Linked DNA regions of Oryctolagus cuniculus. Each later gene encodes a partner of the first gene's protein in a complex. Links are inferred from orthologs where the notes say so. Each region holds a gene or a part of one and is shown on either strand. Other genes may lie near its edges. The genes, in order: GLB1 and CTSA.

Region 1 (3,802 bases):
GTCCGAGTGCCAGTCTGGGTTCTGGCTGCTCTTTTCCAGCTCCAGCTAGTGCACGTGGGAAGGCAGTGGATGATGGCGTAAGCACTTGGGTCCTCTACCCATACGGAAGAGCTGGATGACCACATGGCCCGCTCTGGCTGTTGTGGGCACTTGGGTAGTGAGGCAGCAGTGGAAGATCTCTGCCTTTCAGGTAGATGAAATCAGTAAAATGCAAAAATAAATAAATAAAAGCATTTGTTTAACCCCCTGTGTCATCTGCCCTCTCCCCTTCCAGCTGTCAACGTATTTTCTTCCCGTCCCTCAGAGCCAGATCTCTGTCAGGACGCTAGGGCAATGCCTGTCAGGACGCTAGGGCAATGCCTGTCAGGACGCTAGGGCAATGCCTGTCAGGACGCTAGGGCAATGCCTGCCTTTGGCCTGGCTCACGGCAGCTATTTGTGAATCAGTGGATAGAAGATTCTCTCTCGCTCTCTCTTTTCTCTCTCTCTTTCCTTTTCTCTCTGCCATTCTGCCTTTCAAATCAATCTTTTTTAAAAACCCCATAATCATTAAGGGTAAAAAAGGTCCCGGGTTACAGAGAGAAAGAAGAGTCTTCCAGCGCCCCTGCCCCTGCTCCCGGCTCCCTCCTGTCCCGCCCGCTCAGCACAGTGCCGTGGGCTGGCCTGCTCCGGGCTCCCTCCTGTCCCGCCCGCTCAGCACAGTGCCGTGGGCTGGCCTGCTCCGGGCTCCCTCCCGTCCCGCCCGCTCAGCACAGTGCCGTGGGCTGGCCTGCTCCTGGCTCCCTCCTGTCCCGCCTGCTCAGCACAGTGCCGTGGGCTGGCCTGCTCCGGGCTCCCTCCCGTCCCGCCTGCTCAGCACAGTGCCGTGGGCTGGCAGAGGCTTCGCTCCACCGACCCCGGGGACTCCTTGCTGCTCGGTCCAGCAGGAAGACCGTGCCCGTCTTGTTTACCCTCTTGGCGGCACAAACGGCGCTTCCCCCGCTGTCCCCTCCGCCTCACTGTCACTGTGTCCCTCGCCGGTCAGCCTCATTCCTCTTCCTGCCGCTCGCTCCCTGCGGGGCCTCCTCCTCCCATGGCGCCCACACTAGCCACACATGGAGGACTGCACACGCACCCTCCCCGTCCAGACTCCTCCTCCGACTCCCCAGCCCACAGCTCCAGCAGCCTCCCGCCAGGACCTTGTCTCAGCTGTGCTCCCCCAAGTTCATGGTCATGTGACGGTCTCCGGAGGAGAGACGATCAGGCCACAGGGCAGCGCCCAGGGTGCGGTGAGCGCTCTTAGACAAGGCCCTGCAGCGCACGAGGCAGCGTCCCGCGGAGGGACCAGACACAGGTCTGCTGCTCGCTTCAGCTGCACTTTCTGCTGTGTTCCTGGAGCAGCCCAAATGACCCAGACAGCCCGGGACTCCATTTGTCTGCACCTGAACTCACGGTCCCGGTCCCCCCTCCCAGCCCAAGTCCCCTTCTGAGGCTGCTTCCCTCCCTGGGCCCAGCGCAGGACCCCAAGGGCTCTGTGAGACGAGTTCCTCTACTCGAGCCGCCACATCCAACCGGCCCCCCCTATCACACACCCTCCCCCATCGCAACTCATCTAATGTCACACACGGTCCAGGCAGCCGATGTCACCTCCATCTTGGCCAATCAGACAACGGACCAGCTCCCTAGGTGGTCAACCTGAATCTGCAAGTGCCCTCACCCAACCCGTTCTGCATACTGGGGCCGGAGGGCTTGCCACATCACCACGTCACATCACCGTGTCACATCACCACACCACATCACGTCACGTCACCGAGTCACATCACCATGCCACATCACGTCACATCACTGTATCACATCACCACGCCACATCACCACGCCACATCACCGTGTCATATCACCATGCCACATCACCACGTTACGTCACCACGCCACATCACATCACATCACCACGTCACGTCACCACGCCACATCACCACGTCACGTCACCACACCACATCACCACGTCACTCCTCTACTGCGTGTGTCTCAGCATAATGACAACACTTGGATGCAGTCTCCGCATTTACCACTTCCCTTTCAACTACAGGGCCCCTCTGTGCCATGCTGCTCACCCCTCATGTCTCAAACACCACTCCCTTAGGGGCTTCCCTGGCCTTCCTGACAAGTCTAAACCCCTCCGTTATGATCAACCCTACGCCCTCCCCTCTCAGCACCCTTCACAGATGCGGTTTTGTGTTTAATTTGTGCGGCTGGGCCAGTGTGCGCTCACTAGGCTAATCCTCCACCTGCGGCACCAGCACCCCGGGTTCTAGTCCCGGCTGGGGCGCCGGATTCTGTCCCAGTTGCTCCTCTTCCAGGCCAGCTCTCTGCTATGGCCAGGGAGTGCAGTGGAGGGTGGCCCAAGTGCTTGGGCCCTGCACCCCATGGGAGACCAGGAGGAAGCACCTGGCTCCTGGCTTTGGATCGGCGCAGCATGCTGGCCGTGGCAGCCATTTGGGGGGTGAACCAATGGAAAGGAAGACCTTTCTTTCTGTCTCTCTTTCTCACTCTCTAACTCTGCCTGTTTAAAAAAAAAAAAAAATGTGTGGCTGTATGATACAGGGCCACCTGTTCCACTAGACCGGAAGTTCCATGAGGGCAGCGGCCGTGTCTGGTTTCATTCATCAGTGTATCCTTAGCACATGGCACCGAATAAAAACCTGAACAAGTGATCGTCTAGAATGGACACGGGACTTGAAAGGGAGTTGATGAAGACACGTACGTCTTCAGAGCAGGAGAGAGAGCGATGGGGAGGTGAGAAGAGTCGTGCAGGCGGGGCTGAGCTGGACGTACAGAGCTTGCCATGGCTGGAGAAGCAGCAGACTCTCGCCACGAGTCGCCCTTACCCAGGGCCAGAATCTCCTCACGACCAAGAAACGTCCCTCGACTCAGGGCACAAGAGGCCTCAACTCTTAGAGGAAGCAGCAAAGTCATCGCTCACTAACGGAAGTGGTCGGTCAATGAAAATGGGCCAGATAGTGACACCACCAAGTTGGCCCTCGAATCCTTAAGGTCCTGCCACGACCCTGCGCCTGGGAGACGAGTGAACGCCCACAGAAACCCTCGGTGCCGCACCGTCACTCAGCATGTCATCAGCACTCCTCCTGGAGTTCCCACACCTACCTTGGTCCACCCGGGGAACGTGATAAAGGTGTCCTGGGGCAGGGACGGGACCCCGCTGGGGATGGAGAAGTTCCCAGTGTAGAAGGCTGGCAGTGTGTAGTTCCCGGGGCTGCAGGCCCTGGCGTCCTTCTGGCAGCCACCCCAGTCCCCCTGGAGGCTGCTCACTGCCCTCTCGGTGTCCAGGGGGAAGATGGTCCAGTTTGTGAGGATGTAGGAACCCAGGGTCAAGTTGGAAATCAAGCCCTGCAAAGTAGAATTAGCACAGTGAGGAGGGGGCTGGCGACAGCCTGAGGGCCTCTGCACCCTGGTCCTGCACTCCTGGGAAAAGGCCCCAGCAGGGGACGAGGGACATCGAAGTGACATGGATCTGGCTGAGGGCTGAGTCCCTGCTCCGGAAGGGGCGAACTTCCCACACTCTGAGAGGTCAGGGTGTCGCCATAAAAGGCCCGATTTCCCGCTTCTACAGAAGGGAGGTTTGAGCTGCCGGAGCACCTGACCCTGAGCCCCGGCCTTCAGTGTTGGGTTCAGGGCCGCTGCTAGAAAGGAAGACGGAACGCAGGAGGGCAGAGCAAGTGACTGGGAGGAGACAGGAGGGAGAGCAAGTGAACTGGGAGAGACAGGAGGGAGAGCAAGTGAACTGGGAGAGACAGGAGGGAGAGTAA
Region 2 (3,902 bases), on another chromosome or scaffold:
GTCCCCCAGGGAGGGGATGTGGCCCCATTGTCAGGGCAGGGCCGGTGCGGGGTGGGGGGGAGGCTCACGCTGGTCACGCATTCTGGGTCTTTGTTGTCGTAGAAGTTGCACTTGTTCTGGGAGCAGCAGTGGGTCTGCAGGGAAGACCAGAGCCTGTGGCAGACCAGAGAGAAGCGCTCAGGCCCAGTGGGCAGGGGAGGGGGCGGCGGCCACCCACCGTCTCCCTGCCAAGCCCCATCAGGTCTGATCTGGGGGACTGAGGAAGACCATCACAGGCGTGACAGGCAGGTCTCCAAGCAAGCTGCCCGGGGGCCGGCCAGCACTCCTGCGCCCCTGTGAAGTGACCTGCAGGCTAGCCTTGTGGCATCCAGCCCTGCCCACAACCCCACCCCCCACCCACAAACCAGGGCAGGGCTGGGGTTGTCACACATTTGGCACGAGGGCTGCAATCCTGACCCACCCCGCCCGAGAGATTGCCCAATCCCCCTCCTTCCATACCGGTTCCCCAGAAGGCCGTGGTAGTAGGCAAAATAGACCAGCGAGTTGTCATTCTGCTCGTAGGAGGAGAGGCCATTGCCCACAGCCAGCCCCTGTGGAACAGGCAGGGTGCTCAGCTCATCTGCACAGTGGGCAGGGCTGTGCCTGACACGTACCCAGCCCTGCTGCAATCCAGATGTTGAAACCCCAGCTGGATTGTGGGGGTGGAAGGGTGGGAAAATCCACGCAGCGTCAGGAAGGGAGTGGGCAGCCTGGCAGCTGAGCGCCCCATGCAGAGATAGGGAATCTGGTGGCAGGCAGAGCACGGCGGAGGCCGGGCTGGGTGGGGCGCCAGCCCGTGTGATCCGGCCAATGCCAAGGTCGCAGCTCCCCTTGCCTCCTGCCGCTGCCCCGCACCTGCAAGTTCATGCTGGGATCCTCCATGACCAGCACGGCCAGGGTGGGGATGTAGATGCCGGCATAGCTCTCTCCTGTCAGGAAAAGTTTGTTGTCCTTGTACTCCGGAAAGAGGCGGAAGAAATCTTTGAGGGCCTCGTAATTGTTCTGGGCAACCTGGGGGTGGCAGGAGGCAGGCAGGCAGTCAGCAGGGCTTTGGCTGTAACAGACCTCGGAGGTCATGACCACAACCCCCGCCCTGTGTGTGCAAGAGGAAGTGACTGGGCCCTGACTGCGCCACACAGCCCGGGGCCGAGCCAGGCCCGGGACTCCAAGGCCCAGCTCTCTGCACCTGCTCCATGACAGTTTGGACCACCCGCGGGGCTGGGCCAGAAAGCTGCTGCCAGTCTCACCTCAGTGTCATTGGTTACATAAACCTTGTCATTGGAGTAGGAGAAGCCCACCCCAGCCGGGGACTCGATGTACAACACGTTGGCAATCTAGAGGGGAGGAGGCAAGAGGTGACAGGGTCCCCGAGCCCATCCCAGCGCCCGGGTGCCGCCCGCTGCCCACCAAGCCCCGGGCTCCGGCTATACCAGATTCCAAGAATAGGGGTTGTACTGCAGAGTGACACCGTCCGGCTGGATCTGAGAAGGGAGAGAGGTGGCTGAGGAGGTCCCAGAAGTCCCTTTCAGTGTGGGACCCCTCCCCTCGTCCGGGGAGGCCGAGTCAGCAGAGGCAAACAGGGAGGCCCAAGGACAAGGAGACCGGAGTCTTCCTCTCCCTCTTCCCCGGCGCCGCCTACTCACCAGGAAGGGGCCGTGCTCGGTCAGCAGCCCGTCCAGAGAGCTGCAGCCGGGACCCCCGTTGAGCCAGAGCACCACAGGGCTGCTCTTGGGGTCCTTCTGGGACTCCACAAACCTGGCGGAGTGGAGGGCAGGGCAGGACTGGACCCGGCGCAGGGGCTCCCAGGCGCCCCCAGAGCCCCGTCCCTCCCCTCCCCCTCCCCCGGGTGGGCTTCGCACCGCCTCCCCCCCTCCCCAGCCCGTCCTGGGCGCCGGGCGGCAGACCAGTAGTGGAAGTGCTTGGAGTCGGAGGCTCGCAGGTAGCCCGAGTACTGGCGGAAAGACGGCTGCTTGGCCAGCCCCGGAAGGCACTGGATCTCGTCCTGGTCCGGGGCTGCCTGGCTCCGGGGCGCACAGGACGCGACGAGCAGCAGGAACAGCGGCGACAGCGCGGCGCGGGCCATCTGCGGGAGCAAGGCGCGGGCGCCGGTCGCGGACTCGCGCCCCGGCTGCTCTGCACTTCCGCGCCGCCGCCCCTGGGGAGCACAGGGCGGCGCCCGGGCCCGGGAAGCTTCCGCCCGCCGAGCCTCCGCCGCCCCCGACCCAGGGGCTCGGGGACCACTTCCAGCTCCGGAGCCCCCTCACCTCTGCTCCCTCGCGTCTCTGCTCTCCAGGAGGCGCCGGGAGACAGGCAGTCATGTGTACTCCGAGTCACGTGGGCGCCGGCCTCACGTGACAGCCTTTCTCAGGCCCCCGCTTTGGTCCCTGGGGATGGGGTGGGGGGCGGGGGCGGGGGCGGGCCACGTTGGGTCAAGGTCCTCCGGTGCCTAAGGTCGAAGCCCGGGCGCCTGCGATCAGATGACCTGGGTGTGGACCAGTCAGGTGTTCCAGCCTCCCGGGGCTCAGTTCCAAGCTGGATGGCTGGGCAAGCGGCGCTAGGACCCCCGGGCAGAGCCTCGGGCTGAGGGGGAATGCCTTACATGGTTTCTCCGCGGTCACCACGTCCTCCCGCCGCCCAAAATAGCCCCTGGCGCCTGTCCCCCTGCCTCATGGCCGGGACATGGCTGCTGCCTCCGAGCCCGTGCCGTTGGCCGCATCCTGGGGACCCGCACGCCCGGAGCCCCCTCCCACCCGCTTCCACCCTGTGCACGGCGCTAACATCCGCGTGGACCTCTCCGGAACACGGGCCACGCGCGTGGAGAGCTTCGCCCACGGCGTGTGCTTCAGTCGCGAGCCGCTGGCGCCGGGCCAGGTGTTCCTGGTGGAGATCGAGGAGAAGGAGCTGGGCTGGTGCGGGCACTTGCGCCTCGGCCTGACCGCGCTGGACCCCGCCAGCCTGGCCGTCGTGCCCGAGTTCTCGCTGCCGGACCTGGTCAGCCTCGGCCACACCTGGGTCTTCGCCATCACGCGCCACCACAACCGCGTGCCCCGGGAGGGCCAGCCGGCGGCCGAGGCACTGGCCCCCAGCCGACCCCCGGCGCTCCTGGTGGAACCCTATCTGTGCGTCGAGCAGTTCCGCATCCCGCGGGACCGCCTGGTGGGCCGCAGCCGGCCGGGCCTCTACAGCCACCTCTTGGACCAGCTCTACGAGCTGAACGTGCTGCCTCCGACCGCGCGCCGGAGCCGCCTGGGCGTCCTCTTCTGCCCGCGCCGGGACGGCACCGCCGACATGCACATCCTCATCAACGGCGAGGACATGGGCCCCAGCGCCCGGGGGCTGCCCGCTGCCCAGCCCCTCTACGCGGTGGTGGACGTGTTTGCCTCCACCAAGAGCGTGCGCCTGGTCCAGCTCGAGTATGGCTGTAGGTATCCCACCCGCCCTGGGCAGCAGCGACCCCTCCTGGCCAGGCGCAGGGACTTCCCGGCCAGCGGGCTAGGCCGAGGCCCCTCTGTCCAGCACTGGCCACAGGTTGTCCCTCTCCTTGTGATTCTGCACAAAGTCCCTCCTGGCTCTGGGCCACAGCACACCCGCGTGGGCAGATGGATTAGGGCTCCCGCTTTGTTGTGGCGCTGCCTTCTGTGTCAACCTAGTGCGGGGATTTCAAAATGGTTTTAGATCTTGGGCCTCTTGGAGAGTTGGGTGCTTCCTCATTAGGAAAACGCTCAGAGGTCGGGCATCTCAGCTGGAGGAACATCCCACACCCGACTCGGGGCTTCTTTGGCCTGAGGCTCGTTAGAGCCCCCCAAAATCGAGTTTATATCCCTGATGGTGTTTCATGAACTCAGGGAAGTAGAGCCCGCTCC

The links.
Region 2: the proteins of GLB1 (region 1) and CTSA are in contact, whole or in part, in a cryo-EM structure (PDB 7KDV), measured with the Mus musculus proteins. The link is inferred for Oryctolagus cuniculus from reciprocal best matches to the Homo sapiens genes GLB1 and CTSA. Residues at the interface, in NP_033882.1 of Mus musculus: Tyr198, Asp199, Arg202, His206, Leu229, Thr233, Leu234, Gln235, Asp236, Leu237, Lys258, Phe259, Glu260; in NP_001033581.1 of Mus musculus: Glu29, Asp31, Ala37, Lys38, Gln39, Pro40, Ser41, Phe42, Arg43, Tyr107.

What each region holds. Positions count from the first base shown.
Region 1 is NC_091435.1:169,534,434-169,538,235, forward strand, and holds part of GLB1 (beta-galactosidase), read right to left. Parts: intron 3,384-3,802; coding exon 3,141-3,383; intron 1-3,140.
Region 2 is NC_091442.1:13,516,970-13,520,871, forward strand, and holds the start of CTSA (lysosomal protective protein), read right to left. Parts: upstream 2,511-3,902; 5' UTR 2,358-2,510; coding exon 2,304-2,357; intron 2,123-2,303; coding exon 1,944-2,122; intron 1,795-1,943; coding exon 1,683-1,794; intron 1,521-1,682; coding exon 1,470-1,520; intron 1,374-1,469; coding exon 1,287-1,373; intron 1,051-1,286; coding exon 895-1,050; intron 591-894; coding exon 499-590; intron 154-498; coding exon 69-153; intron 1-68. Other genes in the region: NEURL2 (neuralized-like protein 2), read left to right, coding at 2,719-3,460. UniProt on the Homo sapiens protein: Protective protein appears to be essential for both the activity of beta-galactosidase and neuraminidase, it associates with these enzymes and exerts a protective function necessary for their stability and activity.